Linked DNA regions of Alligator mississippiensis. The protein of the gene in region 1 purifies or fractionates together with the protein of each later gene. This does not show direct contact. Links are inferred from orthologs where the notes say so. Each region holds a gene or a part of one and is shown in the gene's direction. Other genes may lie near its edges.

Region 1 (7,335 bases):
CACGGCAGGCCCAGTGCGCGGCCGTGCAGTCCAGCTGCCCACAGATGCTCACGTCAGGGCCAGGCCAGCCCCTGCCTGGCCACGTCCCACAACCCCCCCCACCTGCCCCACAACTCCCCCTGCCCCACCCACACCCAGGACCCCATGCCCCTCACACTGCAGAAAGGGTGACCAGCCCTTGCAGGAGCAGCCCCCTGATTGGCTGCTTTTCCACTAGGGGCAGGGCAGAGGGGACGGGCAGCCAATCAGACTGCAGTAGGGCTCCTCCGCCACCTCTGGGGGCTCTGGGCTGATCCCCAAATGCTTCCTCCAGGTGCCCTCCCCAGACCCGTGGCAGGGACAGGGGGCTGCCCCCATCTCACCCGGTCCTGGAAGTCCACGGTGGCGCCGTGCTCCAGCAGCTTCTCCAGGATCTCGATGTGCCCCTCCAGCGAGGCCCGGTGCAGCGCTGTGCGGTGGAACTGCCCCGGGGCAGCACCGCCATCACTGGACAGCCCCTCCACCTTCCCCACCCCGAGGGCTGCGTCCCCCGCCTGCACCAGGCGCCTGCAGACCCCTGCCCAGCACCCAGGGGCACAAGCAGCCCTGCCAGGCACAGAGCAGCTGTGCCGGGTCCGTAAGGGCCAGACGGACCGCAGCATTGCCAGCCCAGCCGGTGCATCGTCCCTCCGCCCAGCTCCCCGGCGCTGCCCGTGGGGGGCCCAGGATGGGCTGGGGGCACCACCTCATCGCAGGTGTCCGGGGAGCCGCCGTCAGCCAGGAACTTCTCGACGAGGCGGAGCTGGCCCCGCACGGCCGCCCGCAGGAACGTCTCCGGCACCACCGCGGCATCCTGCCGGGCAGGGGGACATGGGACTCCTACACCCCAGGACCCCGCCCGGAGGGTGCTGTCCTGACCCCCAGGCCCCACTGGGCTCTGGCTCAACCCCAGCCCCTTACAAGGTCCTCGGGCTCCGGCTCGGGCGCCGGCTCAGGCGTGGCGGCCCGCTCCTCCCGCCGGCGCCGGCGCTGCTTGCGCAGCTCGATGAGGTGCTGGATGCCGCCCACGTCGATGATCTCGCGCCGCAGGTCCACCGAGCTCCTCCGCACCCGCTCCTGGCCCTGCACCAGGGAGGGAGTGAGGTGTCTGCCTGGATCCCTGCCTCGTGGTGCTTGGCCATCAGCGGGCTTCTCCCCCCTACTCTTGACCCTGCCCCGGGCTCCCCCTGACCACGGCGGCCACAGCTCCTAGAGAGCCGCCTGCCGGGACGAGGGGCCGGCCCAGCTGCGCCCCCCCACACCCCTCACCTTGAGGACGGCGATGCCGAGGGGAAGGGCCCCCCGGTGCTTCTCATCCTCCAGCTCCTGCACCTCCATCCGCACCAGCGCTGGCGGCTGCCCAGAGCTGCTCTGAAACCCAGCACAGACACCCTCAGCCCCCAGGCTGGGTGCCATTGCCCGGGTAAGGCGCTAGATCCGCAGGGAAGGGCCATCGGGGCTAGCGCCAGGGCTCAGCCCGGCTCCGGCGTCCCCGGACTCGCCTGCTTCGCCGCCTCCTCCTGCGCCAGCCTCTGGTCGATGAGCTCCGTCGCCCATTTCAGGTCCTGCTCCACAGTCGCCGCCATGGCTCCGGCCCTGGGCACCGCCTGCCCTGGCGCTGGGAGCTGCGGCGGGTCCTCGCTGCTGTGCCCGCAGCTGCTCGGCTGCTCCAGGCTTTATGCGGCGCCCAAGGGACAGGTGTGCCCGCCCCGTGACTGTGACCGGGGGCTTTTGTCATGAGCTCACCGGCCACATTCTCCCCGGTCACCTTCCCGCAGCGCTGGGCATCGCCCTTAAAGGGCCCCAGGCACAGCAGGGGGACCGAGGGGGGCTCCGGCCTGTGGTGTGGGCAGGAGCCAGAGCCACCGCACCGGGGCAGCAGAGCGCTGGAGCTGGTCACCCCCTGCCCTGCGGCAGCCCTGGGCCCATCCCAAGCCAGTACCCCAGGGCAGCTCTCGATGCCCCTGGAGCTGGGGTCCTGCTCCATGCCGCACATGCTGCTCCCTCCGCGCTGCTGTGGCAGATGACGTCAGGCACTGGCACTTCCGCCAGCCCCCAGGGACACGCTGGCCAGACCCCAGCCTGCCTGGAATAACTCGGGCAGGAGCTATTCCTGTCTCTGCGCACCGCGCGCAGCCCCGCTGGGACCAGAGGAGGGGGCAAGGGAGATGCCACAGTCATCACCGCCCGAGGACCACGAGGCAGGCACGCTCCAGCCTAGAGCCTGAGGGTGACCTTTGACCCTTCCCTTCTGAGGTCACGGGAGGTCGCTGCCTCGGTGTGCAGTGGGGGTCCCTCCCCCAGGTCCTGCACTGGGAAGGCGACAAGCTGTGCGCTGCAACAAGCCGGGGTGGGGGGCACCAGGCAGGGAGCGTGGAGCAGGACCCCCCACCAGCAGCCCCCGCACAGGCGTGTGCCGGCACACACAGGCGCACGCTCGCTGCAGCCCTGGGGCTGAGGACAGGGCGCTTGGAAGAGCAGAGCCAACAGGAGCCAGGAGCTAACCAGCAACGGGGAGGAGCCGGGCACAGGACCCCCGGGGGTAACGTGGCCTCGGTGCCACTGCCCCCGTCACCATCCAGCATCCCCGCAGACCGCCGAGCTGGGAAGGATTTATTGATAAATACAGAGTACGGACACGGCGGCCCCGGCCCCGCGGGCGCCCTGCACCGCGGCTCCCGCTGCGTCTCCGCTCCAGCACGAGCAGCACAGTCCAAGGGGGCTCAGGCGGGGGGACCCCGCCAGCCCCCGCGGGCACCGCCCCAGGCAGCGCCTGTCACAGGAGCGGCCCAGCGGGTGCAGGCCACTCCTCCAGGGGCGCGGGGGGGCCGAGCCCCGGTGCCCGTCCACGCCGGGGCCAGCCCGAGCGCCGCGGCCTGGGGGCCGTGCCCACCGCCGGGTCAGTTCCTGGGGGGCGGCGGCTGGCTCACGATGACCTGGACCACAAAGTCCTTCTGCAGCCGCGTGTCCTGCAGGCGCGTGCGGTCCGTCAGCAGCTTCCCCGAGAAGAACCAGCGCTGCCAGGCGGGCTCGATGCCCTCGCGGGCCTGCAGCTGCCGCTTGAGCTGCCCCACCGTGTCGGCCATGCTGGCGCCCAGCCGCACGTCCCGGCCCGTCGACAGCCGCACCTTCAGCGGGAACTCGCGCCGCGCGCCCGGCGCCGGCTCCGCCGCCTCGGGGCCCTCGTCCTCGCCGCGCTCCTGGATGAGGTTCACGGGCGGCGCCAGGCAGTACACGGGCAGCTGGTACCGGTTCCCCAGCTCGTCGTAGCACTCGGTCAGGGAGCCTGCGCCGGGCACAGCCGGTGAGGGCCGGCGCGCTGCCCACCCGCGGCCCCTCGCTGCCGACCCCCGGCCGCCACCACCCCAGCCCGTCTCTCCCACCCCCGGGGACCGGGCCCCCGGCGCGGCGCGGCGCCTACCGTGAGGCAGGGTGATGCTGGCGCCGTCCAGGATGGCCTGGGCCAGGCCGTGGTCGCTGGCCTCCACGGCGCCGGCGGCCGCCTTGAGCGCGTCCCAGATCTCGGCGCGGCCCTCGAAGGCGGGCGCCGTGTCCCAGAACTCGTCGCGCTTGCTGCGCAGCTGCCCGGCCGTCATGGGGTAGTCGCTCTTCCACTTGGGACGCTCCTTGCGCAGCGGCTCGTTGCGGCCTGCGGGCAGCGGCACGGTCAGCCGGCGAGGGGCTCTGCCACCCGCTGCGGCCGCGGCCCCGGGCATGTCGCCGGCGGGCGGGCGGGCGGGCGGGGGCGGCAGCACGTCCTGTTGCTCCGGCTGCCCCAGCCCGGCCCGGCAATTACTCGGGCGCGCCCGGCCCGTGACGGGAACCAGGCGTGAGTCACGGCCGCAACACCCCCCCCCCCCCGCCACCCCCCACGGCCCGGCCCGGCCCGGCCCGGCCCGCGCGAGCCTGCCCCCCCCGCAGCCCGGCCCGGCCCGGCCCAGCCCCCCGTGTGCCCCCGTCGCGGCGCGGTGCCCGTGCCCGTGCCCGTATCCCCGGGGCGGGGCGGTCCGGGGGGGTTACGTAACCGGCTGCCCCGCTCACCTGCCCGCTTGCGCGCGTGTCGCGGGCCCGGGGCTCGGCGCGGCCTCCCCACGCAGCCGCCCATGTCCCGCCCGGCCCGGCCCGGCCCGCCAGCCCGCGGGACCCGGCTCGTCCCGGCGCCGCCAGACCCGGCGGAGGGAAGCGGGCTGGGCCCGGCCCGGCCCGGCCCCGCCCCCCACGTGCCGCGGCCCCGCCCCCGCGGCCCGCCCCTCGGCGCAGGCCCCGCCCCGCGCCCGCGCGCTGCCGGGCCCGGGTCACGTGCTGGGGGCGGCGCGCATGCGCGGGGCGAGGCGGGGCGGGGCCATGGCGGCGCTGCGGGCGCTCGTGCATGACTTCGTGTCCGGGCTGCAGGACGGGCCCGCGCCCGAGGTGGCGGCAGGTGCGGGGCGGCGGGGCTTGCACGCGCGGCGGGCGGGCGGGCGGGCGTATGTGTGTGCGCGCGTGTGTCACCTCTGACCCTTCCCGTCCCGCAGGGCTGCGCGCCGGGAGCTGGACGGCGCTGGACGTGGTGGAGGCGCTCGGGTAGGAGTCCCGTCCCCGTCTCCGTCCTCGTCCCCTTCCCCCGCGCCGCGCCGCGCCGCGCCGCGCTCACCGCCTCTCCCCCAGGTCGTCGCTGGAGCACCCGGAGCCGCGCACACGCGCCCGCGGGCTGCAGCTGCTGGGCCAGGTCCTGCTGCGCTGCCACGGCGCCCTGCGCCACGCGGAAGGTGCGGGGCCGGGGCCGGGGCCGGGGGCGGCGGTTCTTGGCAGCGGGGCTGGGACCGGGCTCGGGTGGTGGCGGCGTCTGGGGCAGGTGTGACGCGCGGCGCTCGCTCCCCGCAGTGACGCACCTGGTGCTGTTCTTCGAGGCGCGCCTGAAGGACCATCACCTGGTGATCCCCGCCGTGCTGCACGGCTTGCACGCGCTGGTGAGTTCACGCCCCCGTGCCCCGGCCACGCGCGCGGCACCTCCGTGCCCCGGCCCCAGCCCACCCAGGGGCGCGGGGCAGGAAGGGCTCTCAGCCGCGCATGCTCTGTCCGTAGAGCCTGAGCGAGGCGCTGGCCCCGGGCCTGGCCGTGTCGGTGCTCAAGGCCATCTTCCAGGAGGTGCACGTGCAGGTGAGCAGCCCCCACGTCCCCTTCAGCCGCTGGGATGTAGCGCATCCAGAGCGACACGTGTTGTGCTCTGCACGTGCTCCCAGGCGTGCGCTGCGTGTGCGGGGACGGGCTGTTGCCGTGGGCCGCGGGGTGCTGCCCTGCACAGACGCGGTCGGGGTGGCGCTGACACCTCTCTGCCCCGCAGTCGCTGCTGCAGCTGGATCGGCACACGGTCTACACCATCATCACCAACTTCATGCGGACGCGGGAGGAAGGTGCGGGCCCAGGCCCCGTGGGGGGGGGGGGGGGTGCTGGGGTGCCAGGCCCTGAGCGAGCCCCGTGTCTGCTCCCGTCCCTGCAGAGCTGAAGAGCCTCGGCACCGACTTCACCTTCGGCTTCATCCAGGTGATGGACGGCGAGAAGGACCCGCGCAACTTGCTGGTTGCCTTCCAGATCGTCCGCGACCTCGTCCTCAAGGGCTACGCGCTCGGTGAGAGCCCCTGTCCCGCCAGGCGCTGCCCACCCCCCCGGGCTGCCCGGCGCCGGGTCCACAACGCTGCTCCGGGGCCTGGGCCCAGGCGGCTGTGGCTGGCGCTCAGCTTGCGGCTCCGCTGTCTCTCGCAGGCCCCTTTGTGGAGGAGCTGTTTGAGGTGACGTCCTGCTACTTCCCCATCGACTTCACCCCGGTGAGCGAGTCCGTCCGGAGCCGCAGCCCCAAACCAGACCTGCCCTTCCGCAAGAGGGAGCCGGGGCTGGGAGCTGTCCAGAGGGTCTCGGCACCCGAGGCGGGGGCAGGTCTCGCATGTCCCAGCCTCGCCCCTGGCACCTGTGCTGGACCAGGCACCGCACCAGGAGCCTCTGCTGAGCCCTGGGCTCCTTGCGCTTCTGTTGCAGCCCCCCAACGACCCCCACGGCATCCAGCGGGAAGATCTGATCGTCAGCCTCCGCGCCGTGCTGGCCTCCACGCCCCAGTTCGCTGAGGTGAGATGCGTCAATGGGGGTGTGGAGCTGCGCAGGGCAGGAGGGCTGCAGCGTGCGGTGGGGGGCTGGGACACTCGGCTCCGGGCACCAGCTGCGCTCCAGCGCTCAGGCACCCTCGTGCCGTCTGCTCAGCTCCTTCGCTGCTGCTCAGTGGTGGGAGGAGGGTCTGTTGGGCCAGGCTGGCACTGGGCACCAGGCTGAGGAGCAGCGTCTGGGAGCACCAGGCAGCAGCCACCTGAGGCCCCAGCTGGAGCCAGGACCCTGAGACTGAGCCCATCCCCGCAGTTCCTTTTGCCGCTTCTCATCGAGAAAATGGACTCGGAGCTGCAGAGCGCCAAGCTGGACGCCGTGCAAACCCTGGTGAGCATTGCTTCCACCCAGCCCGCCAGGGGCCCCAGAGCCCCAGCAGGGGCTGCACCCTCACTCCGCGCCCGCTGTGCCCTGCAGAGTGCCTGCTGTGCCATCTACGGGCCCAAGGAGCTGCAAGAGTTCCTGCCCAGCCTTTGGGCTTCCCTGCGTCGGGAGGTGAGTGAGGCCGGTAGGGTCCCTGCCAGAGGTGGGGGGCAGCCCACGTCAGGTGGGTCAGGAGGCTACAGTGGGGGCTCGGGCTGTGGCCCCTGTCCTGGGGCGTGGGGTACACGGTCTGTGTAGGCCTGGGCCCTGCAGCTGCCCCCACCCCTATCCCCAGGTGTTCCAGACAGCGAGCGAGAAGCTGGAGGCAGAGTGCCTGGGTACACTGACAGCACTGGCCGCCTGCCTGTCCCACGCCGTGCTCCACGCCGACACCCACGACCCGCTGGACACCTTTCTCAGTGGTGTGCTGCAAGGTAACTGTCCCGGCTGCATGGCAGATGCTGGTGCCAGCTTGGGGAAGGGGCTGACCCGGTGTGATGCCTTACACAGGGTGGGCCGTGGCCGGGCTGAGCTGTCCCTGGCTCTGTGGCCGTGAGCTGGCAGGCACGTGTACCTGTGTGCGCGTTCACCCTATGGCTGAGGTGCCATGTGTGTGTCCCCAGACTGCCGGCACCACCTGTGCGAGCCTGACATGAAGCTGGTGTGGCCAAGTGCCAAGCTGTTGCAAGCCGCAGCCAGCGCCTCACTCCGGGCCTATCACCACATCGCTGGCAGCGTCCTGCCCCTGCTGCTGGAGCAGTACAACCAGCACCCCCAGGTGAGCGCCGCCCGGCAGCATCGGTTCCTCTGGGGTCACACGGCCCC
Region 2 (7,705 bases), about 46 Mb from region 1:
GTGATCCTCAAGCACCAGCTTCACTGTACTGGATATTTGACTCCTGACTCCCAAAACAAGTACTCTACTCCAAGCTTAGTTGAAGCCTGAAAGCTCAAGGTGGCCAGAGAAAATGCTCTATGGACACATTGAAGGCATACCTCAAGAAAATGTTCACTGACCTAAAGAACTTGGAGGAGCTGGTTGCCAGTTGACTTCAATGGTATCTCCACCTCAACCAACTGGCAGCCTATTTCGAAGTAAAGTTTCTTGCCCTTAAAGCAGAGAAGAAAGAGTGAAGGAAGGAAAAGGAAAGGAATCTCAGCTTAAACCCTACTCTTCTCTGTGGAAAGACCTGCAACTTCAGTGGACAGATGTGTGGCTTGAGGATTGGACTCTTAAATCACCTAAAGACTCATCAGCAAGCCATGGTAAAGGTCATCTTTGAATCAAGGGATTGCCATCACCGATTATGCTAATTTACTTACATACATTTTGCCCCATGGAAGTAAAAGTAATGGAGCTAAATGTGATCTCCCACACCTCTTTTAAATTATTTTGACTTAAATTATAATGAGAGCTCTTAGAACTAGTAAACTTTTTAAAGCAGTGGCCTTTTGCCCAAAAATCATGGGGTCAGGGGGAGGGAGAAAGTATCCCTGCAACTTCTACTAAGATTCCATTTCACACTATGTAAACTGTATTTTGGAGCAACCTACAACGTTAAACATGTCATAATCTTTCCTGAGAGGGGATTTAAGAAAAATAACTTTTATTCTCTATTGTTAAGATTACAGCTTCAGCTAAATAGCAAATTCCATGTATAAGTCAATAAAAAATATCTGTTTGGCAAACTGGAAAAGGTCACATGAATGAGAAGCTAAGAGCGCAGGAAACATTATAGGTAGTACAGGAGGTGCCTGTGTGCTATAACAGAATGTCTGGGTAAAACTGAACTCCATCTGGTAGTATGTGTTCAACTTGTATCTTTGGTAAATTTGTCTAAGGCATGGTAACTATGATGTCCAGATGTGCTTCATACTCATGAAATGACTATCACTGAAAAGCCATTAGAGAGCAATCTAGGGCCATCAGCTTTGTCTCACAACTACTAACCCACCTCTGTGGGGTGCTAGCCTATTTAGCAGACCTTGTTAAGTCCCAAAGCTGTTCTAGGGACCAAGAAAGATTCAAGGAGCCTGTTCCACCAAAATCAAGTACATAAGATAAGTATAAATTAGGGCTGACAAACAATTAAAACAATTAATTGCGAGATTAAAAAAAAAGTCACAATCTCAATTTTAATTGCACAGTTAAACAATAGTTAGCACCCCTCCCACCCAACAGCCCAGAGCCCGTGCTCCCTGTGGCTCCTCCCCGCTACCACCAACAGTGCACAGCCCCAGCTCCGACCCTAGGTTTACCGACGCCTGCTCCAGATTCGCCCCGGCTGGAGCAGACTAACTGAAACCCATATGAACAGATCTGACCCTAGCCCGCCCTGTGCCTGCTCCGAACTCACCTGCCCACTCTGAGCAGCAGCTAAGCAGAAGCTGCTGCTCAGCACAAAGGAAAAGCGGCCCCTCACTGGTGCCAGGCTCTTCTTGCTGCAGCCACCCAGAGTCCTTGCCCAGGCTGACCCGAGACTCCTCTGCACTGCTACCCACAGGCAGAGGGAGAAAAAAAATTTGGGGGGGCTGAGCACTCATGTGCACACTCCCCACCCCCAACAGGAAAGTCTGTGGGGAAAGGGCCATGGAGGGCAGGGAATGGGGTTGCGACCAGGCAGGGATTGGAGCAGAGCCGGGCCTGAGATTGGGGCCAGGGCCTGCTGTATCCATCCCTACCCTTGTGCCCAGGGTCATTGCCCGGTGCTGGTGGCCCCTGCAAATTTGCCACCCCTCAGCCCCGCACCAGCCCTGGCTGCCTCCCTGCACTGGCCCTGGCTCTGCACTGCCTGGGGGGACCTGGAATAGGGCCTGCTTTGGCTGCACCGCTGGGCCAGAGGAGACAGAGCCCATGGGATCCCTGCACCTGCCTCACATCATCCCCAGGAAGAGCCTGGCAGCTCTTATAAAGGCATGGCGCTGGGCAGTCAAGGGGTAGGGGGGCATGTGGCCCCTTGATCTTTGCATGGGGCACAGGCAGGCTGCAGCTGTATTCTGCCTGTCCCTTGCTGCCTCTGAAAGCGGTGCGGTGCCATGTGCCTTACTGTCCGGCCCACCCAGCAGCAGGACTCACCTCCAGGCTTTTACAAAGATCAATAATTAGTACTTTTAAGGAGTAAAATGATTGTTGTTAAGAAATTGTCAATCTAGCATTATAGCTTTCCTGCTATGCTGCTCATGAAGTGATGAAATTAGAAAGCAGAGTAACCACAACTAGGTGGAACTCTGCGGTAGTGTGTGAGGGTGAGGCGGCTTGAGGTTTTGGGATTTAAGATGTTTGGACTGCAGTCCCACACCAAAGAAAATATCTAGAACTCCAGTAGCAGAAACATCAGCTGGATTATATGCAGGTCTGGTGGTCTTAAAAGTCTTTGGGACCTGGCAGCTGGGTCTGTTTTCACAACAGGGGACTGTCCAGAGGAGAACAGGCCCAAATTCTAAGCGACTGAACTGAGGAACTTATCCTTAAAAAAACCAAACAAACCCCCAAGAAACCTATTTAACCAAAGATGAGGTAATAGTGCTTATGCAAAAGGAGGCAAAAAATGTCACATGTAATTGTAGCATTTCTTAGGTTCTGACTGCTTGATTCTGATGTACCCTAACCCTGAGGTTCATGTAGTGCATTAATGCATTATAGTTAATAGTTTTAACACTTCCCCAATTGTCCATTTTGCTGTAACGTGATCTTTCACCTCACACTGAGTTGCCTGTAAAAACTTAAGAATGAAAAGCCATATTTTTGGTGATAGCTTTTACTGGCCCAGTGGTGACTGTTGACAGTGTGGAAGGGGCACAATTTAAGGGTTCACGTGGTGTGCAGTGGGGTTCAGGGCAGGCACTCAAGAGACAAAGGAGTTTTGATTTCTATTCTAGAGCTACTTTTTAGGGTTATTGTGAAATATTAACACCGACGCGGCAAAAAGAGCCGGAGAATGCCGCTTCCGGAGCCATTACCACAATAGGATGGAAGCTCTGAGAGTGGAAAAGAGGGAGGAGATGGGAGTTTCAAAAGAAAAAGAGAGAGAAAGAGGATCCCCAGGGGATAAGAGACTTACCTCAAGACTTCTCACGATGCTGGAGAGAGCAGAGCTCCGAGGAAGAGGGGCGGATCCCCGAGGAGACAAACTACAACCCGCGGGACAGGTCTGGCTACTGCCCTGGAAAGTAAACAAAGAAAAGTGGAGAGTGACTTGACCTACTCTGTCAAGCTTGGAGATGGCATCTGATCGTCTGTCATGAGGATTCAAGACTTCAGGCACACACAAGATAAAAGGTACACACTTATAGCAACAAAATAAAGAGAAAGTATATGGTGGGGTTTGAAGATAAAAGCCCGTCCAAAAAAGATAAACAGACGAACAAGAGAGAAAGAGACTTTGTTTTCTAATACTAAGTTCAGTCCAACCAAATTGACAGCAGTTACATAAGAACATTATATAGATAGAATTACAAAGTTGTTATGATTGATAAGGCTAAAGAAAAAAAGGAAAAGGATATAAATGGACAACTTCTGCCTAAAAGTAAAGAAAGTTTGTATAGAGTGATAAAAGATAAAAATAAAGACAAGCGTTAATCTGAATCAGACTGTGAATATATATATATCGGTGACTGCGTGTGAATAGTTGAGAAGGTGAGCAAGGTATTCCTCTATAATACCGGGACCCCTAATAAAGGCACAACCCCCCCCAAACCAACAAACAAAAAAACCTGAACTATATATAATAACTCTCCTGGCTAGTGACATCAGAAATTAGAACATACAACATCCAAGACATGACAGGCGGGAAAGTCGGGGTACCTATAGTTTTTTGGGAGACTATAAGAGGGTATAAAGAGGAATCCTAAGTGCCACCATCACGGTTATGTTTCGTGATACTTTGTAATAGCAGATGGAGACTGCTAAAAGTTCCTAGTGAAGAAAACTGGCAGGGGGTCTGTGGCTTTCCAGAGCTTGGCCCTTGCCCCCATGGTGCAGCGCTGGTCCAGACTCGCCAGAGCTTGGCTCCTGATGGCCTCGACCAGCTCTGTGCCAAACTCCGGTGTGCCCAGAGTACCCCTGTACCAAGTCCTGCTCCCCACAGATACACCTGTGCCAGAGCTAGTCCCACCGCTCTGCTTTGCTGTCCTGCCGCCTCGTGTATGTGCGGCGCCTCCTGCCCCGCATTTCCACGTTTTACCTTCCCGCTCCCTTCCTCTAAATGAAACTGATGAGCAGTAGAGAAGGGCCGGGCGAGTGCCCCCGCGCGGAGCCAGGGGGTCGGGGTCTGGAGGAGCGCGTCTGCCCGCCCCGCTCTGCCAGTCGACGGCGGCCCCGGGCACGCGGCGGGGCTGGGACTGGTTGCCAGGCCGGTGAATGTGTGGAAGCGCCACGGTGTAAAGCAGGACCCTTCCCCCCGCCGGGTCGCTACCCCACCCACAGCCCCGGGCTCTGAGGCATCCGCGCTCCCGCGCTCCCAGCCGCGCGGCGCCAAAACGGCCATTGGCTGAGCGCCCTCGGGGGCGGGGCCTTCCCTCGAGCCGCACCAGCCCCACGCTAGTGCGCCTGCGCCGCTACTAGCGGGAGTGGTCTTGGCGGCAGCAGCGGGAAGCCAGACCTTGCGATACTGCCGCTGCCCCCGGCGCGACTGGGTTTCTCAGCTTCCGCCAGCGCTATGGAGCCGTCGCGGGACGAGCGGCCGGGGAGCGGTGCCCGCGAAGAGCCGGTGCCGCCGGAGAGGTGCCGCCGGGGGGCGGGGGCGGTTGGAATCGGGAGCGGGAAGCGGCGCCTTAGTACGACCCGGCTCTGCTGTTTGTATAGAGCTGGTCTTCGGCGGGGCTTTCCTGGCACTTGTAATAGCTGATTCAGTCCCTAGAAGCCCCCACTAACGCACCCGATCTGTACAGAACTTGGGTGAGTCGGGTCCGACTAACGCGCTGCCTCTTCTGAGCATGCGCTGGGCTCGCCGTGGGAGCGCGCGAGTTTAAAGTAAAGCCTTTTTTTTTTCCCCAAACTAAGCCACTGTAGATGTATGAGCCACATTGCCTTAAAAAACCCCCCAAAAAACCAAATTTTCTGAAAGAGACCTACCTTGGGGTGAATTTTGGCACGTGTAACTGAACAAGGCTTTTTTTTTTTTTTGCCAGGGAGGTAGTTACAGGAGGAATGGCATTGGAAGGCTACCTTAGTCTTATCTAAACAATGACTATGGCCTTTCTAAACAGTGGTTCTATTAACATCACTTTCATTTCAGTTTTCAGAAGAAAACAGTTGACTTCACTGATACAGTACTCGTTAAATGTTTGAACAACAGATACCGTGTGTTAAGAGTGAATGTAGTACAGAAAAAGGGAGAAGATCCTGAAATGCATCTGACAATTGCAGCATCTCAATCACCTGAGGATACAGAACTATGTATTCTGAGGAATGACTGGTAATTGATATGTAGATATAAACATTTTTTGTAATGAGAATATTTTGGTTTATTAAGTAAATTCTTTATATGCTCATTTTCATTATCTTAAAAGTGCAAACTGAACGCAATTAATCTAATATGGCATTACTGCCATGCTGGTCTTGTTTGTTAATATCTAATTGAGAGCAGTTAGTATCTAGAATAAACTGTATTGTTACCTTACATTTTTCACATAGTTTAGTCGTGGTAAAATAATACGAATAAATAGTTAAAATAGTGAAACTTGAATCATGTGGCTCTGTGTTCACTATGCTGACTTGAGCAGTTAGCATTATTTTGGGAACACAGATTTACAGAAGTTTAGGGCTGGAAGGGACCTCGTGAGATCATCGGGTGAAGCCCCCCCTGCTCTGGGCTGGAAAGACTGCTGGGGTCAAAATAACGCTAGTAAAGTGTGCATCCCGTCTCGTTTGGAAGATCTCCAGGGTAGGTGCCTGCACCACCCCTGCTGGGAGTCTGTTCCAGTCTGGTCACATGAACCGTGAAGAAGTTTTTCCTTATATTCAGTCTGAAACCTTCTAGGAGTTTACTATCATTGCTCCTGGTTTTCCCCTGGGGTGCTGTGGTGAATAGTTGTTCACTTAGCCCCTGATGCTCTCCCATGATATATTTATAAGCTTCCATCAAATCCTTCTGGAATCTTCTCTTTTCTAGGTTTAACAGTCCCGTATCTGTTGGGCTTTCTTCATATGGCTTACTCTTTAGGCCTCTAGCTTAATTGATAAATATACAAAGAAATGGGTATTATAGGTTGACATTGTTGCCTACCCTGGTATACGATTTTTGGCCGGAGCATTGAAAAACACCACAATACCTACCTTGGAAGATGCCGGAGTGCCGGCCTGCCAGAGAAACAAAATGAGGGCAGGGGGTACATGGCAGGATGCCCTGCTTATGCCCCCTACCCCCCAGCCCTGCTTGTGCTCCCAGCCCCCCAGCCTGGGCTCTGTGGCTATCAGCAGCTACCCTGGCTCTAGGTAGCTGCTGGAGCCCAGGGTGATCCCAGCAGGACTTGCAGTCTTCCAGCTGCCTGCTGGCAGCAGCTGCCCAGAGCTTGGGCTGGCTGCAGCTGGGAGGCTCCAAGCAGCTACGCTGGGCTCCAGAGCCCCAGGCATCAATTCCATACCGGCGTGTGCACCCACACATTGGAGCAGGCGGTGGGGGAGGGACCTGAAGCAGTGCAACTCTCGTCTCTTCCCCCGCTCCCAGCACAGAATTGGCGTCTGGGCTCTGGAGCCCAGTGCAGCTGTTTGCAGCCTGCTTGCTGCAGCTGCCCAAAGCCCAGGCTGGCTACAAACAGCTGTGCTGGGCTCCAGAGCCCAGTCACCAGCTCTGTGCCAGGAGCGGGGGGGAAGAGACTGGGGTTGCGCTGCCTCAGGCCCCCTCCCCCATCTGCTCTGAGGTGCTTAAGCTGGCACAACTGTTTGGAGCCTGCCGGCCCCAACTCTGGGCAGCTGCTGCCAGGCAGGAGCCCAGGCTGCTCCCAGCAGGCAGCTGGGACACTGCATGCCCTGCTGGGAGCAGCCTGGGCTCTGTTGCTGGCAGCAGCTACCCAGAGCCAGGGCTGGCCTTGGCGTACTGAGCAAAATGGCCTCGCGTGCCATGCTTGGCACATGTGTGGGAGGTTGCTGACCCTTGCTGTATACCTTGACTTCCAAAAGGCCTTTGATCTAGTATCCCACAATGTCCTCACGAGAAAATTGGAAGATTGTGGGCTTAACTCTGAGACAGTCAGGTGGGTGAGAAACTGGCTGCAGGATAGAACCCAGAGAGTCATAGTGAATGGATCTGTGTCATCCTGGCGAGAAGTGGGCAGTGGGGTTCCGAGGGGTTGGTGCTCGGTCCAGTCCTTTCAACTTCTTTAACGATTTGGATGTGGGGGTGAACAGCTCACTGGCCAAGTTCATGGATGACATCAAGTTATAGGGGAGAGTGGTCATGCTTGAAGATCGACTACAGAAACAGGCGGACCTAGACAGGCTAGCAAGTTGTGTGGATTGGAATCTGATGAAGTCCAATGTCAAGAAATGTAAAGTGCTCCACCTTGGTATGAGCAACTCCCAACGTACCTACAGGCTTGGCGGCACCAAACTAACTAGTACC
Region 3 (7,363 bases), on another chromosome or scaffold:
CCTCTGTGCTGGGGTCGGGGCACCCTCCCTAACAACAGGGCAATAATTAACTGCCCCGGACTCCTTCATCACTCCCAGCTCCAGTGGCCACTTATTAATGAGGTTGCAGCCTTGTGCATGGGGCTTTCTATGGGAGGGAGAACAGTGTCCCAGCCAGCAAGGGCAATACGGCCTAGCCTGGTATCAAGGAGAGATCCAAGTGGGGCTTGTGCTGCAGACAGTAACAACCCCGTATCCCTACCATTCCCCACACACATCAGTTAGGAGCTCACGCATGACCTGCGTTAGCCTCTGTATTACCAGACCGTGAGATGTGACCCTGGCGTTTGCTGCTCTTCAGGGAACACGGAAAATCAGGCTTCCTCGGGGGAAGGAGTCCTTGCCCTCTTGGCCTGGCAGGCAGACTGGATTCAGTGGGGCAGTTCCTTTATTGTGGGCGCTGCTGTGAGCGGGATGCTGTGGCGCCAGGCAAACGGGACCGGGAGATATGCCCTGCCCCACTGAGCTTACAGTCTAGGAGCGAGAGCAGGTGGGCGCCAGCAGGCAGGTGGCAGAGGGAGCCCCAGGAAACACAGCGTAGCTTGGTACAGATGCAGGGCAGCGGGGGGCAGACCAGGCTGCAGCCTGGCGCAGAGCTCATACGTCCCATGCCGCAGCCCCTCGGGGGAAGACACAGCCCCTGTCCAACGTGCCCACTCACACCACTGCTGCAGCTTTGTTGCAGAGGCTGCGGGGAGAATCGGTCCCCTGGAGCTGGGGCCTTTTGGGCCACGAACGGGCTGGGCTGGTTCTGCATGACCTTGGACATCACTGGGGTCCCCAGCATTGCACAAGCTCCCCACTGCTTGGCTGTGTTTATTCCCCAGGCAGCTCCTAGAAGCCACCGTGCGGGTCCCCGTTTCAGGAGCTGCCCTGAGCTCTCCCTTTCTCCCTGTTGCAGAACAAGCCCAGGGGAACCAGAGCTGCTACCTGAGCCCGAGCACCAGGGCCCTGCCCAGCCCCGGAGCGACAGAGTCCCACCTACCCCAGTGCAGTAAGTCCCCCATACTCAGCTGCTCTGCCTGTCTCAGCATGGCTAGCAAGCGTCCTGCAGTGCCCCTGGGAACTCCTCCGGGTTTTCTTTGCACACTAACTGCTTGTTAATCACTTGTTACCCCCTCCCCACAAGTGTCTGCAGGGTTTGGTCAGAAGCATTAAGCCGAGGAACCCGGTCCCTGGCTGTAGGGAGTGAGGGGCTTAGCTCTGCTAAGTGGGGGACACAGCTCCGATGCCACCCACCTCTCAGACTCCCCCTACCTCCTATTATGCAGCCTGGGCTGGTTTGGGCAAGACCAGGTCAGCACCAGGTCGGCCACAGCCGTGGGCATGTAGGAGAGGGGGATGAAGAAGAACTGGGCGTCCCAGCCGCCGGAGTAGCGGGTGCGGGGGTGCTGGGCGGTCAGCGCGTGCTCCACGCAGTCGGTGACCAGGGGTAGGTTGGAGCTGCACCCCTTCTGCAGCTTCTCCTGGGACAGCCTGTAGACTGAGCAGAGCCAGGGTGGGGGGTCAGCCCGGGGCAGAGCCTTGGGCATGGGCAGGCACGTGCCCGAGTCTGCAGACAGCCTGTGGCCAGGGTCTGAGCAGGCTGGCAACATGCAGTCACTTCTCTCCCACCCACATGTACACAGACACGCTGCAGGGGCACTCAGCACGCAACACTCACACCCAGCCGTGTTCTGCTATGGCTTCCCCCAGGTCACTGCCGCAGGGCTCCTGGGAAGAGCTGCATCCTGCTAAATGAGGGTGAGCCCTCCAGCAGTGCTCACTGCGAACCGGCCCATGCAGCCTCGGGGAGGCATGACGTAGCATGATCTGGCGTGTTGTATGTAGCCGGCAAAGGGGGCTGTTTGGATCCTGCCATGCACACATGGTTCCTTTAAGGGGTGCTCGCTGCTTCAGGAGAAGAGGCCCTGGCTGCAGGGCGGTGGAGACAGCAGGGAGCAGACCACAGACAATGTGCTGGCCCCTCTATTGCCTCTGGAAGCACCCCCTCCCCGCTGACTCCCCTCGCCCCGAAGAGGACAGAACAGTGCTCACGGGTCTCGAAGTACTGCTGCCCGTAGCTCTCCCGGACCTCCGGCGAGGCACACTGCCATGCCTGCTTCAGGCAGCCCAGGTTGTTCTCAATGTGTGTCATGGGCGTGTGGAAGTAGCCCGGCTCCACCATTGCCACCTTCACCCCGAAGGACCAGAGCTCGTGCCTGGGACAGAGGCAGCCGTCACGCCTCGCCACAGCCCCACAAATGCCTCCCGTCCCACGCCGTGGCCCGAGGGGCAGCCCGTGGCCCCGCATTACCTGAGTGAGTCGGAGAAGGCCTCCACACCGTACTTGGAAGGGCAGTAGCCACCACCACAGAAGGCCAGTCTGCCCAGGATGCTGGCCACGTTGACAACGCGGCCCCGGGCTCTGCGCACCAGGGGCAGCAGGCTCAGCGTCACCTCGATCAGCCCCACCAGGTTCACGTCCAGCACCCTGACGAAGTCAGCCTTGCTCAGCCACTCGTTGGGGGCCACTGGCAGCACCACCCCGGCATTGTTCACCAGGCCCCAGAGCCCTGCGGGGTGAGGGCAGGGAGTGAGCCTGGGCAGAGATGGGACGGGAGACTCCCCCACTCGGGCACGAATCCCAGTGCCGCCAACATCCTGGCCCTGGGCTTACTGCTGAACAGACCCTCTGAGACCCTCCTCTGCCCTCAATGTAGCGCTTTCGCCCTATGATGTGGCTCCACGCCAGAGTCCAGACCCCCCATCGCTCCCCTCCAAAGTGGGACACAGCACCCAGGAGTCCTCGCTCCCTTCTGCCGGCAGCTCCTTTCCCCGTTGCCCCCACAGAGCCCCTCCTGTTGGAGCTCAGAGCTGCCCCGGAAAAGGCAGGAGGAAACACAGAGGATTTTCTCCCTGCACCCCAGTGTCACCCACCCCGGACTCGGGATGCATCGTGCCAGGGATACAGCAGCCTCACCTCGGTCCCCCACCTGCCCCTTCACCCAGGCAGTGGCCGCGGCAATGCTGTCGGAGCGAGTGACATCCAGGATCACCGTCTGCAGCCTCCCCGACGTCGCCTGCCGCAGCCGCTCGGCCCCCTGCTCCGTCAGACACGCCGCCAGCACCCGCAGCCCCCGCCCGTCCAGCTGCTTGGCCAGCAGGTGCCCGAAGCCGGAGTCGCAGCCCGTGATGAAGACATGTTTGTCCGGGAGGTTCCCGACCGTCTGCCGCTCCCGGTACCATCGGCACAGGAGGTACAGCGCCAGCAGGGCCACCAGGTACAGCCACATCTTCACAGGCGTGGGGGAACAGCCACCTGAGGTCAGAGCTGTGTCCAAATGCGACCACCTCTGGGGAGGTTTCCAGCAGCTCCTCGCAAGTCATCAATAGCTGGGTGCCTGTCAGCCTGGGAGGAGCTGGCCCAGTCAGGCAGTTGCAATTCAGCACTGGACTTTTACCCACTATGGAGGAAAATATTGTTATTCCCTTCCTTCCCCAGCCTCGCTCATGGCCAAGAGACCAGCTGCAAGCTCTGGAGCAGGCATGGGGCATGGGGACCTGGCACCCACCTTTACCCCAGGGTACAAGTGTGCCCCTTGGCAGTAACACAGGGCAGCTCACCGCTGGTAATCTGTATCTCGGCTTGCCCCGGGGATCCCTGCCCCTTCCCGTGCCCATCCCCTGGATGATCCTAGTTCTGGTCACGCCAGCTTTGGGCTCAAGATCACTCCTGCTTTTCCCTTTGGGGTCACCCCTGACGCTGGGATGTCTGGGGGAAACCAGACAGAACTGGGGCCTCCCCACCCCCCCCCCACTTACCTGCCCTAGCTGCCTCCAGCCTGGAGCTGCCCAGGGCAGGGGTGGTTGATGCCTGTGCGAGACCACCCCAGGTACGGCCTGGATGCAAACCCCCCATGCTCCCCCACCTGCCCCCTGTGCCACTTGGCTCCGGCTCCAACGCTTTTCCACAAAGCCACTCATCTGGTGGCGGGGACACTGTCCTGAGGGCTGCTTGGCTGGTGGCGGGGTCACGGCACTGCCCTGGGTGATCATTAATCGCCCTGGAGGTCAGCAGGTCCTGCCTAGGGCCGGCTCTACCCGCGGCCTCGGGGCCAGGGATTCATGGGGGCTGGAGGGCAGCAGCTCCTGGGGTCGGTCCCGCGGCCCTGCCCCACGCTGCACGTGGGGCCGGGATCAGGGCGGTGCCCGGCGCTGCGCGGGGGCGGAGCGGTGCTCGGCGCTGCACGTGGGGCCGGGATCAGGGCGGTGCCCGGCGCTGCGCGGGGGCGGGGCGGGGCGGGGCGGGGCTCGGCGCTGCACGTGGGGCCGGGCCCGGACTACAGCTCCCAGCCGCCCGGGCCGGGGCCGGTTTCGCGCGCGCCGCCGCCGGGGCCATGGCGGGGTTCGAGCCGAGCGCCCTGCCCGAGCTGCTGCCGCTCTACTATCGCCGCCTCTTCCCGCACGGGCCCTACGGCCGCTGGCTCGGCTACGGAGGCGGTGAGTGCGGGGCTGCGGGCCGGGCCGGGGCGGGAGAGCGGGGCCGGGGACCCGGGCACCGAGCCGGCGGCTCCCCCCGCAGTGGAGAAGAACTACTTCGCCCGCCGCGAGTTCTCGTTCACGCTGCGCGACGACATCTACGTGCGGTACCAGAGCTTCGAGCACCCGCAGGACCTGGAGAAGGAGCTGCAGAAAACCTGCCCCTACAAGGTGGACATCGGGGCGGTGTACTCGCACCGGGTGAGTTGGGGCACGGGGCTGCCTGAGCTGGCATGGCGCGCTGCCCTGGCCCCGTCTGCGCTGGCAGAGCCCGGGCGTCGCGGTCTCTCCCCGTGTCGGCGCCCGGCGGAGAACCCGGAGTCGGAGGCCTGGGTTGCAGCAGGGGTCACGGGGCAGGCGTTCAGCTCCAAGGCAGCCGGGCGGGGGCTACATCTGCCCCCAGAAGCCAGACGGCTCCGTGGGGGACGTGCGGGGTGCGGAGCGGCGGCCCCCGGCGCTGACCTGTCGCTCCCGGCCCAGCCGAGTCAGCACAACGCACTGCGCTCGGGGGCCTTCCAGGCCCAGGAGAAGGAGCTGGTGTTCGACATCGACATGACCGACTACGATGACGTCCGCGGGTGCTGCAGGTACTCGCCGGGGCCTGGAGGCCGTGGGGGTGGGTCAGCACTGGTGTGTCCAAAGCCAGTGCCATCCCCATGGCCTCCCTCCCTGCAGCTCGGCCGAGATCTGCTCCAAGTGCTGGACCCTCATGACCATCGCCATCCGCGTCCTCGACCGAGCACTTGTGGGCAAGTACCCATCCGTCAGGGTCCGGGGGGTGCAGCACCGTGGTTCCTGGTTGTATCAGGGTAGTTGTGGCGGCTGCAGGAACCCAGTTGCCCAGTTGGGGCTCTCAGCACCGCTGTCCTGGGCCCAGCCTTGCTTACTGCAGGACTGGGGGCTGCGGGTCTGGAGTTAGGGGCACCAGAAGGGCTGTCCGGGAGGGGGGCAAGGGCTGCAGGTTGGGAGTCCGGGAGTGAGGGGCAATGGTCAGACTGGGGGGTGCTCCTCCCCCCCAGCAGGCCCTGCCTGACCCCACACCTTGTGCCCCACAGAGGACCTGGGGGTGCAGCACCGCCTCTGGGTGTACTCGGGCCGGCGCGGCGTGCACTGCTGGGTGTGCGACGACACTGTGCGCAAGTGGTCCTCCTCGCTGCGCTCCTCCATCGTCGACTACCTCAGCCTGGTCAAGGTGCGGCAGGGGGTCTCCTGGGGGCTGCATCTGACCCCAGTCCCCCATTGCAGCTGCTCCAGGCAGGCCAGGTGCTGGGAGCTGTCGCCTGGCACCCGGGCCTGGGGCAGATTTGCTCCATCCTGACCATCTCCTCTTGCTCCCCGCCCAGGGTGGGGCTGACACTGTCAAGAAGGTGAATCTCTCTGACCCTGTGCACCCCTTCATCAGGTTAGTGCCCCCCCATGAAGCCCCTTGACAGGCCCTAGTCGTGGGCCTGATTCACCCCAGTGCCAGGACCACTCTGCCCTGTGCTGGCAGCTCCCTCCTGCCTGACCTGGGTGCCGCTCCACCCCCGGGGACCAGGCGTAGTAGACAAGCTTGTTGGGAACAAGGCAGCAGGGATCCAAAGAGACCCGTTCCTCTCTGGAGGGCAGTAGCTCCCTTATGGCCTCCCCTCAACCAGGGTGGGGGTGCCCCCAAGGGACCCCTATTGGTACCCCCCACAGCTGGAAATGTCCCCGCAGTCCCAAAGTAGGCACAGACTTGGCCAGGGGAGGGTCCCAGCGTCCTGGGAGCGGAGGGCCGCAGGCATGGCCTCCAGGGAGCCAACCCCACCATCCCGTCTGCTTCTCCCCAGCAAGTCGCTGCGCCTGGTGGAGGAGCGCTTTGAGGAGTATGCACTGCTGGGGCAGGACATCCTGGGCAGCCGTGAGAGCTGGGACAAGGTGCTGGCCCTCGTCCCAGAGCATATCCTTCTGCCCAGCTCCAGCTGCCTTTCACTTTGCCTGGGGAAGGGGCTGGCAGCGGTGGGGGCTTGCATGTTTAGGGCCAGAGAAGCATGCAGGGGAGAGCTTGTGCCCGTGCTTGTGTGCACATGCTCACGTGTTGACACATGCTGCATTACAGGCTCTACATCTGTGTCCATCTAGTGCTTCGGTGCAGACCTCCGTGCTTCCACGCATGGTTGAGGGGGTGGGGGGTCCATGCAATGTTGTCAGTCCTTAGCTGGTGCCCACCCCTGCGCGAGCAGCTGCAGCAGGATTTTCCCCGGAAGCGTGACTCGGTGCAGCGCTGGGCCCGGCTAAAAGCCCTCGTCGAGAAGTCCAGGGTGAGAAGCTGGGGGGCAGGGGGCACTGGGAGGCTGTTGAGGGGGGCAGGCCACTGCTGGGTGCAGGGGGAATTCAACTGTCCTTGTTTCCCCGCCCCCACAGCAGTCCTCAAGCAGCTCGAAGAAGCTGCCATCCTACGCAGAGAAGGAAATCATGCTGCAGTTCTGTTTCCCACGCCTGGACGGCAACGTCAGCAAGGGCCTCAACCACCTGCTCAAGAGCCCCTTCAGTGTCCACCCCAAGACAGGTACAGCCCAGGGGAAGGGACCCCCAGGGCAGGGAGTGGACCCTGGTGAGCCTGGACATGATGTGGACTTTGCCCCCGGCAGGTCGCATTTCAGTCCCTATCGATGTTCAGCGGCTGGACCAGTTCGACCCCTTCGCCGTCCCCACCATCAGGTAGCTGTGGGTCACTAGCCCCTCTAGGCTGCTCTGCCCAGCCCCGAGCGGGCCACCCCAGCAGCAGAGTGGCCTTAGGGGCTTCTGGTCAGTCCCCTCCTACTCTCTGGAGTACCTTGTA
Region 4 (7,997 bases), on another chromosome or scaffold:
TACCAGCTGGTCTCCATGGAGACCCCACCTGCCCGCTCCCTCTGGCACCCCTGGGGGTGGGTGCAGGATGGACAGGCCAGGGTGCCCAGGCAGCAGGGCCAGGTCTGGCAGCAGCACCAACTGGAAGGAACCACAGTAGCGGAGGCTGCCAGGAAGCAGAGTCCAGCCGCTGAGCTGCCCATGCCCTGCTGTGCGCTCAAGGGCAACAGGACTGACTACACATGCCACAGCCTGGGCTGCCCCCCTGTGCCTGAGCTGGGTGGGTCCAAAGGACCTGCTGCAGGCAGGATAAAATCCCTTGGCAGGCTGGATCTAGCCTGTGAGCTGCATCTTGCCCAACCCTGATGTAGGGGCTTTGATCCTGGTGCTGCAACCAGGAGTAGATTTGTCTGAAGCAGATAGATGCTGCCTGCACAAGAGGTAACAGTATGCTGGGTTTTTTTATGACTTGCCTCTCCTATGTAAACCTGGTCACTCTTCTGCTTCTGCTCTAAAACATTTCTGTAGTTTGATTTACCACATGAAATCTTAACTTTCCATAAGTACTGAGCATTAATGAGGTTAGGAGACGACATGCCTTTTCTACTGTGTTTCTTTTCCTTTATGTATTTTCTGATGTAATAGACACACTTCCTCAACACTTGTGGGAGCTATATCTTGAGTTGGGATGGGAGCAGTAGGAGAATAATGGATTGATGACAGAGGGAGAGTAACCAGGAATCAGCTTGGGAATAGAAGTACAGAGGCACTGAATCTGATTCATTGGAAAGTAACACTTGAAATCCTTGGCATGTAAATTGTTAAGCACATGAGATGGAATGGGATTAGATGTTGAACAAGCAGAGAGAAGCTGTTAGCTCTGTACCAAATAGTGACATATGGCTTTTACTCAGAAAAGTAGTTCAAAATTCCCTAAACAGTTGTACAATAATGCAATACATAATAGTTATGGACACAGTTTTCCTCAGCAGCGTTTCCAGGCTGGCTGCTTCTAGAAATCTCCTACTCAGCAATGCAGTAGGTTGGTCTGCATGCATGGGGGTCTGGCATAAGATACAAGGCCAAACGATTCTTGGCTGCCCTGATAAAATCCTCATCTTGCTTAGACTTCATAGCACTTGTGGGGGTCAAGTGACTTTTCAGTGGGTTTTTGGGGAAGTTACTGGTTTTCATGTTGGCCACGGCCATGTTGTTTTGGGTACTTTGTGGGAAATGAGCCAAAATGTGGTCCAACTCTTCAAAGTATGGACAGGTAGTAGGAGCATTAATGCAACACCTGTTCTGCTCTCATGTCTTTAGCTGCCTCTCCTGGAACTTTTTTGGATTGACTCAACCCTGGAAACTGCTCTAGGACGAGCCCCTGTCTTCAATTGCCCTGACAGTGTTTAAACAATGGTGACTTCTCCAAATGAGACTGAACATGCTGTTTCCTAAGAAGGGCAACCAAGTCCAGCACTTTCATAGCAACAGATGAGGGCATGGCTTCTTTACTGAGCATATGAATTCACTGTTATCTTTTTTTGTTGTAAAAGGACACTCATACCAATATCCATCTGATCAAGATGACCCTGTAGCAGCTGAGTGCATTCAGGGACAAGCTGGTTCCAGTGTGAAGCTGTCAGTGTAGGACTGTAGTTGGAGGAAGTAGTTGGAGGTAGTTGGAGTTGTAGCAAGAAGTGAGAGGGTCAGGAATGGGTTTCCATGAGCAGGCTGACTGGGAAGGAGAGTTACTTCTGTTCCAAAGTTAACTTGCTGTGCCCAAAGACACCAAGTAATTTTGGTTTATTAAAAATAAGTTGTATGTGGAAGCAAGGCACTTAAGACAAACCATGCTAACGACAGCCATTCCAATGGGAGCAGGTGATCATGGCTGTACCCCAGTTCCTTGCAGTGATGACAGCCTTGTCTGGAGCAGGGGCAGAACCGCAATCCCCTGCTTGCACGCCCCTGCTCGGAGTGTGCAGACTACAGATCATGGCTCTCCCTGGCTCCAGAGCAAGCTGCCCCATTGCAAGATCCCAGTAGCTCCGGAGTGGCTGAGGCTGGTTTCCAGGGCAAAGCCAGTCTTGAACTTTCCCAGGCAGCTGAGGCTGGGGTCTCCATGGAGACCGGCCTCAGCCACGTGGCAGGGGCTGCTGGGAAATGGAGTCTGGCTGCTGGCTGGATTGGCCTTTTTGCCCACCCCTGGCCTAGATGATGAAGTCTTTTCCGGTTTTAAAACTCTATAAAAAGAATGAGGAGGAGGAGAAATTGCGAAGAAACAGGAAAGGATCTGCTCATGGCTGCACGATAAAGAATGGAACAGTTGGAATTGATTAGCGCTGCCTCTGACTAGTGTCCTAGGAAGATGGATCTCAAACATCTAAAGCAGACTAGACTAGCCAGGTCAGTGCAGGGACTGATGTCCTCAGATGTCTCTATAATCCACTGGCTAGATTCAACTCTTGACTAAAAATGCTATGAAGGTAATACGTTACCTATCACTTTATGTGTATTATGGACAAGGTCCCTGATACACCCTGTGTGTTTACAAGGCTAAGCACAGACTCAACACAAATAGGAACCTGCTTTAAAGCAATAGCAACAATGTTTCTGGGCTGACCTCGGGCATATAACAAAGGTGCTACATGAAAGCATTTAGCAATCTGCCCTAGGTTGATTTGTATTTGAAGAGTTCACTGTTTATTCTTTCAAAGGCTTGTTTTTTCTCCCCCTATTTTCTTTTTCACCTCTCTCACAATGCTTCACTCTTGCTGGTATTCTTTCTAGCTTGTGAATGTCCTCAGAAAAGTATGGTACACAACTTTGGTGTTTGAAATGGGAGTAATTCTAGTCAAGAGGTTTGCAGCAGGAAGTGGGAGGGTCAGGGATGGCTTTACATGAGCAGACTGACTGGGAAGGAGAGTTACTTCTGTTACTGTTTCAAACAAAAGGTCAACAGGCTGCCAAACTTTAGCTGCTGTTAGACTTAGAATTCTAATATGGAGTAGATTCATGACATCTACTGACTTTTCAACCAGTTCAAGAGAAAGTATAATCTGTTGCCTATAGGAAAAAAATCCTTTAAACAAAGTAGCGTGACATTCCAGGTGCATTTATATAAAAAAGTTATATACTCCATGAGCCCTGGAGAAGATACAAGATCAAAAAGGGGTCAATCATCTGCCCTTACCCTAGCAGTCCATAGTGGTTATACACCAGTGGCACAACAGAATGATGTGGCTAGCACCTTATCCAGCTGCTTTTGGCTCCTCAGCCTGCATAAATTACCTAGATTTACTGCTGGGTCAACTGGAGTGGACAGTACAAGTCCAGCACAAGTCCATGCTCACACTCAGACTTCTGGAACTGTAGTAAGATACCCCAAACTCCAAATTTGGAGTTGAAGGAGATGCAGGGCACACAAAAATAAACCTGCCAAATTGTGCACGTTGAGATGTTTCAGCTATAACAGTAGTTTGTTTTCTGATGATATCCTGCTCCATATTAAAAAAAAAAACCCAACATTTTATTGATGTTTTTCCTCTGACCTGGGTCTGCTAAGAACCCACCTAAAGTTGGTGCTATTTATATAAGTGGGACTGTTGCCATTACTTTAGCAGGAGCTGGATTAGGCACACACTTTTATAATCTTGGATGCATAATCTTGCGTTAAATTCATTTTGCAACCTTATTTTCAAAGCAAGTGCAATTTATCTTCAGGCCCTGCCACACGTTCAGCTGAAAGCTGGATAGAAACCAGTGATTGAGTTGTTACACATTTTCAAGCACAAACTTTTTATCTAGTTGGCACTTCTAATAGCTGGATGGACGTTTTTATGTTGTGGTAGTTACTTTGCACAGCTACATCTATTGCATGATTCACAAGTGAAGTTCATGAGTATGGCCAGCCCTCATTGATTGTGTGATTCACCAGGAAATTGTGTGATAACTTTAGATGTGGTTCATTTACAGTGCTCACTTTGCACATCTGGCCAGTCTACATTTATCGTGCGAGTCACTAGTGAACCGCATGATAATACCTTTGCATGCGTGACCTGTTGACATTTATTGCACCATTCACTAGTGAATTGGATGCTAACAACTTTGCACATGTGACCCATCTCACTTTGCACAGGTGGCTGGTCGCAACATCAGCATTTGGGGTCAGAGGGGCTGTGGGTTGGGATTGAGGTGCCATGCTGAGGAAATGGGGCCATGCCAAGAAAAGTTTGGGAGGCACTGGATTATGCATTTCCTCAGTGAATCGCACGATATATGTAATGTCTGGCAAGGACCTTCAAAGTCTCATTTTTCTGAAGGGCGGCATCCTGGCTTTGCAAAGCAGGCTACTTTTTCAAGAGGCCAGGAGCTCTTTTACTGGACTAGCTGCATGGCTGGGAGAGGGGTGGGCAAGCTTGCCCATACACCAGGACCCTCGCTCCGGTCTCTGCTCAGGGCAGGGTGTTGCACTGCCCCAACGCTTTGCCCAGCATTGCCAGGTCTTAAATATGAAATGACTGTATTGCAAGCTCAAAATTATTGTGTGCGCCAAAAAACTACCGTACACTGGAAAAAATATGAAAATAAATATGCAAGTAAATCTTCATATTTACTTTCTATTGCTCACTGTAGGTCCTCATGGAGCGAGACCCAAAAGTCAGTTAAGACTGTCCGAGAGTGACTTGCGCTTTGCAAATGCTGCATCAGTTCGCTCCTTCAAAAAGTCTCCTGCATTTTCACCACTTTTACTTTTCGTACATCGTACGAAGGACGAAATTATCGTACAAATACGACCGGACACACTGCCCCCGCCTTTCCTCCTCCCAGTGGGACGGACCCAGGGGAGGAGCCGCGCACGTTCCGGGACTGGAGCCCGGGCTGGTCCCGCCCCCCGAGCTCTCATGCCCCAGCCGCAGCCTCCCATTGGCCGCCGGGCAAGGTGATGCCCCGCCCTGCGGGCTCGGTGCAACCACCGTTTTCCCCCAACCAACCGCGGCGCGCACTAGTTTGTCCTCTCCGGCGCGCCGTCGCCGCGCTGTCACGTGAGTAGGGGGTGGAGCGGCCATGATGGCGGAGCCCTTCCAAGCCTGAGAGGCGCGAGTGCGGCAGGTGAGTAGTAACGTCTGCCCCTTCCGTTCCTTCACCCCCAGTCTCTGCTGTGGCCGGGCTGCGCCTAGACCCCGAGTGCCCCCGCCCCACGGTTTCAAGCCCCAAGGACGCTGGGAGCTTCCCTCCCCCATGTCCTATTCTTGGGACGGCCCAGAGCGACTGTTGGGGCCCGCGTGAGCGGTTCCATTTCCCGGGGGGCGGGTGGAACGCACGTGGATAGTTCCATTCCCGGGGAGGGGGGTGTGGAACGTACGTGCGGCCCCAGCCGCCCTGACTTGGACTGGTCCGTTTTGGAACTCTTTCTGCCAGGGCCCTGCTGGGGGCTGGAGCTGAGGCTGGGGCCACTGGGTGGAAATGGTGCCTGCGCATCCTGTTTGCCCTTGCTCCCCAGTGCCTTTGGAGCCTAGCTTCCTCATGGGCGAGCACCCTCCCTGCCACCTCCCCACAGGAGTGGGGGGTTGAGGCAGGGCGCTGGGTTCTTCGGCCAGAGATAGGGTGGATTTGCATGTTATGTTCTCTGGCACTGTTGTTACTGTGCTATCCTTCAGCACTTCCTTTTGGCAGTGCTAAATGACAGCCCCTGCTGCACAGTCCAAGCATCTTATTTTTAGCTGCTACGTCGCCATAGTAATGGCACTACTCTAAAGGAGCATGTTGCTGTGGCGGAGTAGCTGCGGCATCACGGTTTTTGCCAGCTGATGCTATGTCACTGTCGCGTCTCATGTAGATGTGTCCAGGGAATCTCAACTGGGGGTCTTGAGAGGGTGCCGCAGGAAGGAGAGGGGAGGCAATTCACAGGCAAGGGAAGGCTCAGGCTACAAGTCGGAGATCAGCAGAAAGGGGCTGGCTCAGGCTCCCTGTGCTGCCCAACTTCTCTGTGAGGAGGTAAGCACTGAAAAGGAACCAATTTCTTTTGGCTAAGATCAAGCACGACAAGGGGCATCTGAACCCCCATATCTGCAGCTTGCACCTAGGATATGGGGAGCATCCCTGGATATGGGGAGCATCTGAAGTCCCAGACTGATGGGTCTGGGAGGGAAGAGACTTGGTCTGTGGTAGAGCCACCCAGACTTGACAGTTGAGTTCTGCTCAGTCAAATTTGGGAACTTGACTATTGGGCTTTGTCCAATTGAATTTGGAACAGATTTTTGCCCTTGGCTAAAAAGAAAAATAAAATCTATTAGCTTTTGAAAGGGGGTGCTGCTCAAGTTGCCCGAGTTCTGGAGGGTGCCTGGAGTTGAAGGAGGGCTGGCTTAGGCCTAAAAAGTTTGAGAAGCACTGTTATAGACTAACTAAATCAGTGATGCTCAAGCTCACCTAAACAATGTCTTACTTCATTAGATGTGTCCGATCTAATGAAGTAAGCTGCTGCTTACGAAAGTGTAGGCATCTCTGATTTAGGTTTGTGCTTGCATTGTCAGTGGAAAGCTGGTAGTAGAAACACGAACACCTTCCCCTCCCCTAGCTTTTAACAACTCTGTCATCACACCTCTTCCATCCTACCTTTCTCTTTTCAGTCTGAATATTTATCCCTGGCTACTGTAGTCACTTCACTACTGGAATCAATGCATGATCATCATGTGTCAAATTAAAAGATCACATTTGCAGCCAAAGCTCTTGTAGCTGTTAAGCCACCGGTTTTAAGAATTTATGATCAGTGTAAAAACACAGCATGCTGCCTGTGACCAGTGCATGAATAGGCTTATGCTAATCTTACCTTTAAGTGCTTTTTTTTTTCTTTTCAGATTCATTAATCAGGAGGACTTAAAAGAACATTTATTGGAAAGGTATTTTTGGATATGGTAATTTAGAATGTGTGTTAGTAGACGCTTTAGAAAATAAGGGGTGCCTAATTAAAAAAAGTTTTATTCAGTAGTTTGGTTCACTCTTCATGTAGGCCAGAGGTATCAAACTCATCTGGCCTCTGGGGCTGGTTCTAGACTGTGGGGCTTGTGGGCTAGACCTAGACACAGGTGGCAGTGGGGTCAGCGGTGGCTATAGCAGTTAATACAGCTGTTGTTTGCCCCTACCACTGAGAGATCCTCAGTGGGGCCCTGTACCATTGATTTGAGCAGTGGGCCTTGCACTTGGTCCCTCCAGATGAGGCCTGCAGGGCACACATTTGACACCCCTGACCTAAGGTGTACTTCAAAGAAGAATAGTAATATTACGAGCCATTTATTTTTTAGGGCTGTATTCTATCCCTTTAGTGCTCAAGTTTTTCAGTGTTGTTTTCATACAAATTGCAGTCATTTGACTCTAGCAATTAGAAATGTTTGATTTTTTTTTTTCATCTAACACTAGACAGATGCAAATTGTGTGTTGAATATTTATGTATATATTCTTAAATCAGTTAAAACCTGACTTGTATTTATTTAGCTTAAGTCGGTAAGCAATTATTCCAACTAACAGTGCAACAGAGAATTGAATTGAATGTCTACCAGTGTCTTCAAATCTGTTTAAGTTTATTTAAATCGCATATTTTTTCTAATCTTTTTTGCGTCTGAGTGAAGACTGGGCCTGTGTGATATTTTGTTGTATGCTAGAGAAGAAACTTCAAAGCTGAGAAAAATGCATTCAGTACCAAGAAGTTCATACTTTGTCAATTAAGTTTACTATTTCCAGTTGTTCTTGATTATATTCTCTGATAAGCAGTATATTTAGACTTTTTAACTTAACCTTTTTATCAGCTAATTGCTCTCTATGTTGAAACGTTCTTGTCTTTTTTTTGTATGAACGTGTAATTTAAAATTTTAAAAAGGTAGAGAAAATGTTGATAAGAAAAGCCTCAAGCCTAAAACCAAACTTAACTCAGAAAAGGTATAGGGGTCAACAGAACGTGCACCACCTTATGGAATGAGATTCTTGAGACCATTTCTTGCAAAAGGAAAGAAATGAGATGTTTT

Evidence for each region.
Region 2: the proteins of MMS19 (region 1) and DNA2 purify together in Homo sapiens (affinity purification with mass spectrometry; 3 studies listed by BioGRID and IntAct, counting the BioPlex papers as one, with this or other methods). This does not show direct contact. The link is inferred for Alligator mississippiensis from reciprocal best matches to the Homo sapiens genes MMS19 and DNA2.
Region 3: the proteins of MMS19 (region 1) and PRIM1 purify together in Homo sapiens (affinity purification with western blotting; 3 studies listed by BioGRID and IntAct, with this or other methods). This does not show direct contact. The link is inferred for Alligator mississippiensis from reciprocal best matches to the Homo sapiens genes MMS19 and PRIM1.
Region 4: the proteins of MMS19 (region 1) and CDKAL1 purify together in Homo sapiens (affinity purification with mass spectrometry; 4 studies listed by BioGRID and IntAct, counting the BioPlex papers as one, with this or other methods). This does not show direct contact. The link is inferred for Alligator mississippiensis from reciprocal best matches to the Homo sapiens genes MMS19 and CDKAL1.

What each region holds. Positions count from the first base shown.
Region 1 is NC_081829.1:100,703,692-100,711,026, reverse strand, and holds the start of MMS19 (MMS19 nucleotide excision repair protein homolog), read left to right. Parts: upstream 1-4,331; 5' UTR 4,332-4,335; coding exon 4,336-4,438; intron 4,439-4,532; coding exon 4,533-4,581; intron 4,582-4,665; coding exon 4,666-4,766; intron 4,767-4,881; coding exon 4,882-4,967; intron 4,968-5,082; coding exon 5,083-5,157; intron 5,158-5,341; coding exon 5,342-5,411; intron 5,412-5,497; coding exon 5,498-5,626; intron 5,627-5,760; coding exon 5,761-5,822; intron 5,823-6,030; coding exon 6,031-6,117; intron 6,118-6,402; coding exon 6,403-6,477; intron 6,478-6,564; coding exon 6,565-6,642; intron 6,643-6,805; coding exon 6,806-6,944; intron 6,945-7,133; coding exon 7,134-7,288; intron 7,289-7,335. Other genes in the region: ANKRD2 (ankyrin repeat domain-containing protein 2), read right to left, coding at 1-34, 363-461, 725-832, 940-1,101, 1,288-1,434; UBTD1 (ubiquitin domain-containing protein 1), read right to left, coding at 2,919-3,304, 3,440-3,667, 4,060-4,123. UniProt on the Homo sapiens protein: Key component of the cytosolic iron-sulfur protein assembly (CIA) complex, a multiprotein complex that mediates the incorporation of iron-sulfur cluster into apoproteins specifically involved in DNA metabolism and genomic integrity.
Region 2 is NC_081829.1:54,948,528-54,956,232, reverse strand, and holds the start of DNA2 (DNA replication ATP-dependent helicase/nuclease DNA2), read left to right. Parts: upstream 1-4,696; 5' UTR 4,697-4,801; coding exon 4,802-4,866; intron 4,867-5,380; coding exon 5,381-5,560; intron 5,561-7,705. UniProt on the Homo sapiens protein: Key enzyme involved in DNA replication and DNA repair in nucleus and mitochondrion.
Region 3 is NC_081838.1:6,989,138-6,996,500, reverse strand, and holds the start of PRIM1 (DNA primase small subunit), read left to right. Parts: upstream 1-4,359; 5' UTR 4,360-4,418; coding exon 4,419-4,521; intron 4,522-4,603; coding exon 4,604-4,761; intron 4,762-5,040; coding exon 5,041-5,147; intron 5,148-5,235; coding exon 5,236-5,309; intron 5,310-5,615; coding exon 5,616-5,752; intron 5,753-5,903; coding exon 5,904-5,962; intron 5,963-6,371; coding exon 6,372-6,481; intron 6,482-6,750; coding exon 6,751-6,842; intron 6,843-6,945; coding exon 6,946-7,090; intron 7,091-7,172; coding exon 7,173-7,242; intron 7,243-7,363. UniProt on the Homo sapiens protein: Catalytic subunit of the DNA primase complex and component of the DNA polymerase alpha complex (also known as the alpha DNA polymerase-primase complex - primosome/replisome) which play an essential role in the initiation of DNA synthesis.
Region 4 is NC_081826.1:117,420,728-117,428,724, reverse strand, and holds the start of CDKAL1 (threonylcarbamoyladenosine tRNA methylthiotransferase), read left to right. Parts: upstream 1-4,985; 5' UTR 4,986-5,091; intron 5,092-6,836; 5' UTR 6,837-6,878; intron 6,879-7,997. UniProt on the Homo sapiens protein: Catalyzes the methylthiolation of N6-threonylcarbamoyladenosine (t(6)A), leading to the formation of 2-methylthio-N6-threonylcarbamoyladenosine (ms(2)t(6)A) at position 37 in tRNAs that read codons beginning with adenine.